Arabidopsis thaliana: one gene and its partner. The protein of the gene in region 1 interacts with the protein of each later gene in a biochemical or structural test. Each region holds a gene or a part of one and is shown on either strand. Other genes may lie near its edges. The genes, in order: XRI1 and AT1G32530.

Region 1 (5,532 bases):
AACTTTTGATTTCTAGGAAAGAGTTTGTCCACATGAACCTTGTTTGAGCTTGCTCATCTTCTTCTCCACCTACCTTTGATGACAAGATTGGCCTAGTATCTGATGGTTTTTGGTTGATATCTAATCTTTGAGCTATATACTGATGCAGCTTGATATGAAAGATAGAGATGAAATTAATGTATTGTTGGGTCACTGTAGAGGATTGTATTCGTAATAGTATTGTTACCATGATCTATGATGCTTTTACTTCTTTCAACAACTAGTTTGATGTGCATCTTTTGTTAATTAACTTAGAAAATTGTGGCCATATATCGCTAGAGTTGGCCTGAAGACCAAATGTGACGCTAATCTAAAATACATATATTGCTAAGAAATTCGCTCAAGTTCTTGGGATGATATTTGACCAAAACAAACTGTGATAGATTTGGGCCACAATTACAATTTTTAGCCTACACTAATTATTGGACCAATCATAAGATTGGTTTGGCATTTGTTAAACATAATGTACAAATCTAATCAAAATATCCTAAAATATCACTTAAATCACTCCAAATCTAAATAGTAAATTCCATCAAATCTTTCAAAATATCAACTCCCACAGTTTATAAAAGAACTATTAAAATTTTCATATATTGTAATTTTAGCTACATAACTTTATATAATGAGAAATACAATCCAAAGATATAGAACTGAACCAAAAAAAACATAATAAATTTTAGCTAAATAACTTTTTATTTAGTAAAAGATTTTTTTTTTTTTTGGGTTCAGTTCTATACAATAAATTAAAATAAAGAAAGAAGAGTTATGTTCTACCAACTATATAATAAATGGTGAATGAAGAATCATTAAATAGAATAGGTTTGGTGTCCACATAACATAAAAAAAATCCAATACAGGATAGTATATTCTTATTTTATGGTTTAAAAAATAATATTTCAAACTCTCTAATATATAAAAAGAAGTTTTACATTGAAAAATCCGCAAATAAGCTTAAAACGTGAGCCTATTGACTTTTACTTTTTTAAAATAGGCGTTATATTTTGTTGTTTTTATTTAAAACATCATGAAACTTTAACGTTTTCAATTATCGTTCAACGAAACGTATATTTTATTTATTGTGCGTTAAGTTTTTTTTTGTCAACATATGAATCATATACACAAGTAAACTAATTTTGTCACTACTTAATAAAGAAAAAAAAGTTACAAAACTAATTTGAATAAAATAAGTTCATTCCTTTATCAGTTACAATAAAATCAACAAAATTTGAATAAAATTAGTCTTCACAAAATAATACTAAATTTGATGGATTTAACTATATTAGCCAAAATTCAAAAAACTCTCATAGAATTTTAACTACTCATATGATTAGGTTGGAAATGAAGTATAATTTATAACAAATACTCATTTCTAAATGTCTTGGAAAGATAAGTCAAAATCATTATGACATTATCAGTGACTACTGACTATGAAAATTTGATTTATCTTGCTTTATGAATTCAACGATACAGTAGACAGAGTCAATTTACACGAATTAAGTGATAGTTACTGAAATGAAATCTAAAAGCGAATAATGTTATATCCAAAAATAAACAGATTACATTAAAAAGAAAGTGATGATTGATTAGTAATATTAATTGCAACAATTAAGTAAAGAAAATCGCGAGAAAAGAGGAACCCACGACACATTGAAACTTGCAAAAAAAAAAAAAACTAGAAAGCGTGCTTCGCAATGGTCTTTTCTTTTTCTTCTTCTTCTCAATATACACTAATAAAATAAAAATAAAAAGCTTCTCTTGCAATTCTCTCTTCCCTCATAAATAGAGATGCAGTAAGACTATAAATATTGACCAGTGTCCTAGAGAGAGAAACTCGCCGCTTTTAACACTTTTTTTTTTTCTGGTTTTTTTTTTTGGTTAAGCAGTAAGCACTAAGCACATATCTCGAGCACACACACAAGGTCAGTCAAAAACTGCTTCTTTTTCTGATTCATATATATATATTGCTTTGTGGGTCTTTGGAGCGTGCATGTTTTTTGTTCTTATTGTTGATTTGTGTGTGTTTTCATTTTCTGGGCAACGGCTAGTTATTCCCACAAGTTGTAGACGACAGAAGAAGATCGATGGATTACGGAGACGACGATCGGTAGATTTCTCCTTTATCGCTGCTTATTTCATCTCGATTTGGTTTATTTTTGATTTTGATGTGTTTCTTGGTTTTTGTTTTCTCGTTTGGATTTGTGTGTTTGATTGATTAGTACATTCTTCGATTTTTGTGTGTTTTTGTGCTTTCTTAGTCTGATTCGTGTGTTCTCTTGTATGGGTTTCACTGTAATCGTTGTGGTTTCGCTTAGATTTGGTGGTGGTTACTGGGTTTTAGGTTTTGATTGATTTCTGTGTTTTTAATGCGAAGATGAAATGTTGGATTTGATGTTAATTGTGAGTTAAGAAATGTTTGGTCATTTAATGTTTCATCAATCATTTAGGATTTGGATTTTAGCTTGTCAATGCTCTATCATTTCTACTAAATCCCGAGTTTCGTAAGCCCTCTCTTGTCAAAATGGTGCTCTATGGTCAGAATCCAGGTTGGGATGTTGTGATTGAGCTTGAAACTATGCAATGTGCTTACTCTATTTGCTTAGTTTTGAGTCGTTGAGACTCTTCAGTCTTCAAAAAGCTTTAAAGTAGTAAACAGTAGTCTCTAATCATGTAAAATGTACTATGGGTTTGATCATGTTTGGTGTTAATTTTTTGCAGTAGCTCCTCATGGAATTGGCAAGTGGATAACTATAATCACCAACCTCAGTCTCATTTCTGTAAGTCTTACATCTCTGTGACGAGCATGATTGAATCAGTTAACTCTTACAACACTGTAATAACCATGATTGAATTGGTATCTTAACTCCAGCGGATGTGCCTGACTGCACGATGACTGAAGTCACATTGAACCAAGAAGATCACTCGTACATGTTTGATGATGAAAATACTCCTGTGAAGGCATGTAGCGAGTTGGGTTACCATGTCACAACAGGTGGGTTTTTTTTTTCAAGTGATCGATCATTTCCATTCCTGATGTATGGTTGACGATGGTTTCTAATCTAAAGAATCTTTGGCTTTAGAGGACACGAACAGGAAAATGGAAGTGCACAGTGAGACACGCTCTGCTTTAAAAAGGCGTCGGATGTTGCAGTTTGAAGACCAACCTGAAACATCCCTTTTCAGCAGTGAGAGTTTCTCTGCAATCTTAAAATCAAGTGTGAGTATACAATACCCATATCTTGTCTCTAGCTAGGCACCAAATGACCACATATGCATTGCAGATAACCAAACTGATTGCTCACTTATTGATTATCACACTGCATATGGACTGCAATGTGAATGCATGTTCCTTTCAAACGTTTGCAAATGGGATTCTGTTTTGTTTCATAGACTTTTTACTTCTACTCCTAGAACAAATTCAAGCCTCTTACTTTCTTAGTATCTGGCTACCTAATTCAGTTGTGATCTTATTATCGAAGTAACATTGGATAGCTTAGGAGGTTGTATGAGGTTCTGATGCTATCTTTAATGCTTTGATTGATGATTCTTTATGCATGTTCAGGCTAGAGATGACACATTTGATGAGCTTTTACCCGAAGGGTCTCAGCTTATAGAAGGGTTTTCAGGTTGGGCTCTTATAATTCTTCCGAGTCAGTCGTGCCAATGTGTTTTCCATTTAAACAAAACACTGTCTCTTTTTCAGAAGACGCTTCTGCCTCTAGCTTCGAGGGCCTTGATCTGTACGCTGAAGAGTGGTATGCTGATTGCTTAAATGATGCTGAGACTCCAATGCTACCTGATGACTTGTATGTTTCAACCTTTCTTTTTGCTTATGTTATGTTTAGTAGCATCATTTTGCTTCATTAACTGGTTACTATTGTTGTTTTTCTCAGAAACTTTGGTTCACCTGATGTTCAAGTAGATATTTCAGGTTAGATATCTTTGTTTTCATCTCTTCCTTAGCCTGTCCTAGCTCTGGCTTCTCTTGCTAACATCCTTGTGTTTGATGCAGAGTATTTGAATGTGCCACCAGAAACAGAGACTAGGGAAGTTCAGCGGCCTGTGACTCGATCTTCTCCAAATGTTATCTTTAAAGGTAAAATAATAAAATGGTTTAGTCTCAAATGAGTCTCATACACACCTATTTCACGACGAAAATGAGAAAACAAAACATTATTGTAATGTTAATTGGTAATAGCAGGTAGGAAATCGTTTTCAAGGCCAGTTTCAAAGCTACCATCTTCAATCATCTATCCATTTGCATTCATCAAACCATGTGGGGTTCACGGTGGAATGACTCTCAAGGACATAAACCAGAAAATCCGAAATCCACCAGCAAAACCAAAGGCACACATAGAAGAGCCTGCAGTGATCCAAACTTCAGCATTCTCAGGGAAACCCGTTGTTGGAAAGACTAAAATCCGCACCGAAGGAGGAAAAGGAAGCATCACGATAATGAGGACTAGAGGCTAAAGCTAAGTTAAGTAAGTAGTAATAAGCTGATAGAAGGTTTTAAAAATTCACTGCAGAAAACTTTTAAACTTTTTGCCTTATTCTCAGAGGCCCTTAAATCCTTTTTATCGGATATAGTTCCAGTCAAGGGCCTTTTTATCGGTACAGCGGCTAAAAACTCTTCAAGATCTTATTATGAATCATGTTCTTGTCTCGTTTTTGTATCTGTAGTATGAAAGAAAACTTTAAAGATCTGTTAGCCATGTGGTAGATATTTTTGTTTGTATAAAGTCCCTGGTTCTCAATGTTACCTGAAACTTGTCTCTCTCTCTGGTTGGACTGCTATACAAAGTATAAGCAAGTTTTGTTATCCATTACATTGCAGTGAAACGTTGCGTTTCATGGTCAAGAAGAGAGATTAAAAACAAACTTAAAAGTAAATATAAGTTTATAATGTATGCTTTGAAAATATCAAAATAGTTGAGGTTTTAGTATGTTCAGGGATTTTAAAATATGTTCTCCTAAATTGACGCTTAAGCAAATCCCCTAGAGTCTAGAGATCTTCGCTATCAATCACGTTTATCATCAGTCAATCCAAAGGATATTACTGAGATCAATCAAGCATGACGCATATCATCAGTCAATATCAATCACGTTCGATTATGGTCAAATCAATATATACTTTAAACAATTATCAATTATATGATGAATTTATATGATCCTTTCTTTTGACTCTGGTTATGACTTATTGACTATCCCATTGTTGGAGGATTTGAGGGTTAAAACTTTTACTACAGACAAATGAAGGGTAAAGTATTTTTTTTTTCTTTCTACTCTTTGGTTCTCATTGGATTTATACACGCTAGAGCAAAAAAGTGAGCAGAAAATTAAAATTTTACTCAGTTCAGCTTGTTTCAGTTTTTATTCATCTAATCAGCAAAACATAGGAAAGAGAAAATTATAGCTAAAACATAATAAAGCAGAGTAAAATTTTACTTCATAAAAATTTAAGTAAACTTTTACGCCAGAGTAAAAAAAAATTCT
Region 2 (5,626 bases), on another chromosome or scaffold:
ACAAAAAGTGATTCGATATGAATAGTTATAAAGTGATGAAACATCAAAAACGTTTGAAATGAATATAATTTATTCAGAATATATATTTTTTATTTATTTATTCAGAATATTCAATATGATACGTTAAAAACTTGATTTTAATAGATTACTAAAATGTAAAAAAAAAACTGATTTGAATAGAGGCTACTAACATTTAAATTTTACTACCCATGTTATTTGAATAGAGGCTAGCATGTAATGGATTTAGCGGAATAAAAATGTGAAAGTTTGACGAATGCTATGAATACAAAAAGAAACACTATGCCATTCATACCATCATGAACAAATGCTCTGATTCAAAAGGAGGCAATATGGGTATGTCGATTTGACAAAATGGTCGAAGTTCTTAGGGAACAAAGAGATTTGAGGTCACAATGCAAAATCCAAATATCTTTATTTTTATTTATTTATTTTTTTGTTAAAAGGGTTTTAAAATCCAAACATCTTGTCTAAAGAAATTGTAAAAGACACTTCAACAGAAGATGCCTTCCAGAAGCAAGCAAACAGAGTTGAGTTTCTCAATCTCGTTCCATCATGACCACTAAGCCAATACATGTATGTATGCATCTACGTAACGTATGCGTGTATATGTATGTGCATGTATGTGTGTGGGATTTGGAGGAATGGGAGAGAAAGAATAAAAGGACAAAGGAAAGAGTCATGTAAGAACATTTTGGACATTGACGTCTCTAGAGACGCTTGGATAGCCATTAAAGTGCGGCTATGGAGTTGTCCACGTCTTACTTCAAACTATGATGGCTCAGCTTAAGAAGATGCATACAAAAACCTCTTTTGTTTCCATTCGTTTTTTCTTATATGAGAATGTGGTAAATTCTATAGACGATGTAACACAAGCTATAGAGAATGTATATAATTACAACTGGAATTAGCACACTATTTGTTTATTAATGCCAATGGTATCCCAACTCTACATAAAAAAAGCTTTATAGCAAAAAAAAAACTCTACATCCAAAACGCAGATGCATGGACTGATGGACATTGGTTAATTACCCAAAGGAACAACATTTACGTACCACTGGGCATCCAAACATATAAGCGAATATCACCAAAATCCAAAATCTAAGAAATTTCAAAAAGCAAGAAGTTATATATATGTGTCCATTGCTTTGCCAAAATCTAAGAAGTTATAGATTAGGGTTTCTAGAATAGATAAGCATCGAAGGGATCACAAAACTGTAAACCAAACTGAAATAAATGTTTATACCAAAAACAAAATTTGCTTCTTAACCAATTGGTTTTATAAAAAGAATAAGAATTTGAAACCGAGTTTAATGTAACCAGTCGATCGGACTAAACTAATTGAGATAAATATAATCATAATGTACATTTTAATTTATTAATACAATAGATGTTAGTATAACTATATTAAAATATTATTAGTTCAAACATTATATTTATATAATATAAAGTTAATTTCCTAACTAAAACCAAACCGAATCAAAACCATAATCAAACTGAACCAAACTAATCTGTTTTCACATTCTATATAACCGAAACCAAACAAACAGATCGGATTTTAACCCATACCTATAATAAAACGCTGTCGGTTTGAATTCGGATATATGGGCCCAAATAAGTTCAGTCAAGTAATGGGCTCAAAGCCCATAAATATATTCTCTGGCGCCGCCAGAAATGGAAGAAACCGAAACAAAGTTTCTCTCTCTCTCTCTCTCTCTCGCATAACCTTTTCGCCGAAACTCTCATCTTCTCTTAGCCGAGAAAATTCAGCCACCACCACCGATCAGTAAGTTCTTCGTATTCCTCCGTCTCTATCATCGAATCATTATTTATTCAATAAATTAATTCCATTTCTTCAAACCCATGTTTTTTGGTTGGTAAAGTTTTCATTTTTATCGTCTCTCTGTTTTTCAATCTCTCTTTCAGTTTCAGATTTTGGCATGGGTTGTACTGTGAGGGAGAAGCACGTGAAACCGACCCGTAGGATCAAAGCCGCTGCATTTAGATCCGACCCACCGTTATGTTGGGTCGAGAAGATTGCTATGTCACAATCAATTGTTGAGAACCTTGTTTATCATCCTGGTCTTACTGATTCCGGTTCTGTCAATTTGAATTCCGTTACTGAGAATCCTGAGGAGAATTTTTGGGCATATTGTACAGAGGAGCATTTGGAAGAGATTTTGCTGAAACATTTGGAGTTTTTGTATAATCAAGCTGTTTCTAAGCTTCTTGAATTGGGCTATGAGGAACGTGTTGCGTTGAAAGCGGTTTTGAGTAATGGACACTGTTATGGTGAATTGGATGTGTTGACTAATATAGTGAATAATTCATTATCTTATTTGAATAGTGGTGGAGGTGGAGGTGGGAGTAATGGGAACGGTGAGGATCGAACGGAGACTGGTTTTACGGATTTGAGAGATTTGGAGGAGTATTCGCTTGCGGGTATGATTTACTTGTTGCAACAAGTTAAGCCTAATTTGAGTAAAGGTGATGCAATGTGGTGTTTGTTAATGAGTGAGCTCCATGTTGGTAGGGCAAGTACTCTGGATGTCCCAACGAATAGGTCTAGTTGTTGTACTAAGGAAGATAGCAATGTAGAAGATGTTGGTACGGGTGGTACTCTAGATATTGCTGGTTTTATGGCACCAGCGTTGTGTCGATTCCATGGAGGTTGGGGTTTTGGGAATGGGGGAGGACCTGAGTTTTCTGGTAATGGGTTTTCTATGAAAGGTGCTGAGTTGAAGTTGCAGAGAGAGATTGATTGTCCTAAAAGGTTTAATCTTTCGCCATCCATGAAGTCCTTGTTGAAGCGGAATGTTGCAGCGTTTGCTGCTGGGTATCGTGCTAGTATGAAGCAGAAGCAAATACAGTCGTCTGATACTATTGGTGATAGCAAAGCTTGTAATGATCCTGCAATTGTGAAGAGTTGTGGGCAGCAACCACGTAAGTCAGGGAGTGAAGAAAGTGTTAGTACGGTGTTGGAGAAATTTCGTGATCTGAACCTTGATGATAATCTGGAATCGGTGGGTGTGGATGATAAGGATTGTGTGATAGTCGATCTGCTTCATCAGGTTAAGGATTTCGAGAAGAAAGTAAAGGAAAGGAAAGAGTGGGCTCAGAAGAACGCAATGCAAGCCGCACAAAAGGTCAGCGAGGAATTAGCTGAGCTTAAAACATTGAGTAGTGAAAGAGAAGGAATCCAACTGCTGAAAAAGGGGAAACAGGCTGTTGAAGAATCAACTGCGAAAAGATTTACTGACAAGGAAATTGAACTCAGAAAAGCTTGCAGTCAAAATGACAGGGCCAATGTAATTGTAAGAAAGCTTGAGAATCAAAATGCAGAGATTCGAGCAGAGCGGGAGGGATCCAAATTAAGTGCATCAGAATCGCTTAAAGCGTGCATGGAAGCATCAAAGAAGGAGAAAAAATGCTTGAAGAAGCTTGTGGCATGGGAGAAACAGATATTGAAGTTGCAGGATGAGATTACAGCTGAAAAAGAAAAGATTAAGGCCCTATATAAGACTTTAGCTCAAATCACAGAGTATGAAAAGGAGATTGAGGTACGTTGGTTCATATTATATTCATTTATACTGTGAAAGTTCTCTAGATCCTCTATACTTTTAACTCTAGAATTGTGGGAAGTACATTTACTTAGGATTCAAAATATTTACGTACGTTATCATTTGAGGCACACATCTAGTTGCGAAGTTGGTTCTGTCTTAGATGGTAGTATGCCATAAGACTTCAAAGATCATTCAAGAGGTATAGTCTGTGTCTGCCACATATTTTGCTAGGGTAGATGGAACCTGGATTTGATATGAATATAATCTTGGAGAATCCGTCTCGAGTTGTAGAAGCCAAATGATTTGCTATACCTATTGATATGTTCCACTGGATAGCTTTTCTCTCTACATGGTGGTCTATATTTTCTTTTCGTTCCTGACGTTTTACCTGTTTGCGCCTTGCGGGTACGTTATCTATGTTGCTGCACATTGTGTTCAAAACCTTGCTCTAGATTTGCTTACTTGGACTGTGGTTGATGACTGATAATTGAAATATCAATTTACTTTACCTCAATTAAACATGGAATGATGGTTAGTCTATCAACTTCTTTTTATATTTACCTGTTCATATGTTATTTGCAGGCGAAATGGAGGCAAGAGCAGAAGGCAAAAGAGGAGGCTCTGGCTCAAATGGAGGAAGAACAACGCTCAAAAGAAGCAGCTGAGGGTCACAACAAGAGAAAGCTTGAGACTTTACGACTCAAAATTGAACTAGACTTCCAAAGACACAAAGACGATCACCAAAGACTGGAGCAAGAACTCGGTCGACTCAAAGCCTCTTCAGATAGTGACTCAAGCCACATATCCAACAACGCTTGGAAACCCAAAAAATCTCAAGGAGAAAACATTGCTAAGCTGCTTGAAGAAATTGATAAGCTTGAAGGGTCTTATGACAATGAAGCAAACTATGATCGAGAATGCATAATCTGTATGAAAGATGAAGTCTCTGTGGTGTTTCTTCCTTGTGCGCATCAAGTTGTGTGTGGTAGTTGCAGTGATAGCTTCTTCGCGAGCAACAACGGCGGAAGCAAAGTCACTTGTCCTTGTTGCCGAGGTTTGGTTCAGCAGCGAATCCGTATCTTTGGAGCAACCTCATAAAAGCAGAAATAAGCTTCTCTTTGGGTTTCAGAGAGATCACCACAACTTCAGGTTTTACTTTGTAAGTACAAATAATATGTTTAGCTTCTTCCTCAGAGCTTTTTACACTCAGGAAATTTGATTTTTTTCGATGAAAGATCTTTGCACGATGTAAAATAACTTATTATCGTGATTATCTTGATGAATTCGATTTGGAGGAAACATGCCTCTCTAGTTTTTACCAAATAAAAATCAACTATCGTTTGGTTTGTTTTTGGTTTTGTTTGGTTAAACCGGATTGGACACTTGTTAGCAAAACAATGACAACCACAAGTTCTTGAAAACCACAATTATTGATGCTTTGTCTACTTTTCTTCTTGTGGGTTTTGTTGTGTGGCCGTTACTTGCAAGAAAATGGCTTCGTGTGCCATCTCAAACTCATTTCATACTGTAACCTTCAAGACCTTGAAGAGAATAAGTCCTTACAACAGTCTATTCGGTTGGAACTCCGGTAAGAAAATAGACAATATCCGGCCGCCGCAACAACCGGCTTACCACGACGATGTCGAAATTCCTTTCTCTCTTTCAATGGTAAACAAAACCTTCCTAAAAGGTAAATAAATTTATTCCCTTCTTCTCAATCTAAGTCCTTGTAGCAACATGTGGACTTATATATTCTACCACTAGGAATAAGTATATTTCTTATCTAAAGTTCTTCAACTATATAACAATCTTTTTTATTAGGAAGAGAGTTAAAATGTTGCTACAAGGCAAGCATTGATGGGTTTGGTGCAACAAAGTTCCACGAGCGTTGTGACTTCAAAGGTCCATGTGTTATCATAGCTTACACTAAAGACAAGTCTTTCAAGTTTGGTGGATTTAGTCCGGAAGGATATAGAAGTACTGATGATTATTACGATACATTTGATGCTTTCCTCTTCTATTGGCTCGAGGATTGTGATGACCCA

Evidence for each region.
Region 2: the proteins of XRI1 (region 1) and AT1G32530 form a complex in vitro, tested with the Arabidopsis thaliana proteins (one study listed by BioGRID).

Annotation. Positions count from the first base shown.
Region 1 is NC_003076.8:19,757,113-19,762,644, forward strand, and holds XRI1 (x-ray induced transcript 1), read left to right. Parts: upstream 1-1,768; 5' UTR 1,769-1,958; intron 1,959-2,006; exon of another isoform or gene 2,007-2,084; 5' UTR 2,085-2,120; coding exon 2,121-2,143; intron 2,144-2,160; exon of another isoform or gene 2,161-2,582; intron 2,583-2,754; coding exon 2,755-2,813; intron 2,814-2,905; coding exon 2,906-3,028; intron 3,029-3,116; coding exon 3,117-3,253; intron 3,254-3,598; coding exon 3,599-3,662; intron 3,663-3,739; coding exon 3,740-3,842; intron 3,843-3,929; coding exon 3,930-3,967; intron 3,968-4,048; coding exon 4,049-4,132; intron 4,133-4,237; coding exon 4,238-4,509; 3' UTR 4,510-4,903; downstream 4,904-5,532. UniProt on the Arabidopsis thaliana protein: Required for mitotic division of the generative cell nucleus and the development of mature tricellular pollen grains, and for male and female meiosis.
Region 2 is NC_003070.9:11,758,719-11,764,344, reverse strand, and holds AT1G32530 (RING/U-box superfamily protein), read left to right. Parts: upstream 1-1,709; 5' UTR 1,710-1,804; intron 1,805-1,944; 5' UTR 1,945-1,958; coding exon 1,959-3,578; intron 3,579-4,163; coding exon 4,164-4,679; 3' UTR 4,680-4,918; downstream 4,919-5,626. Other genes in the region: AT1G32520 (TLDc domain protein), read left to right, coding at 5,073-5,271, 5,403-5,626.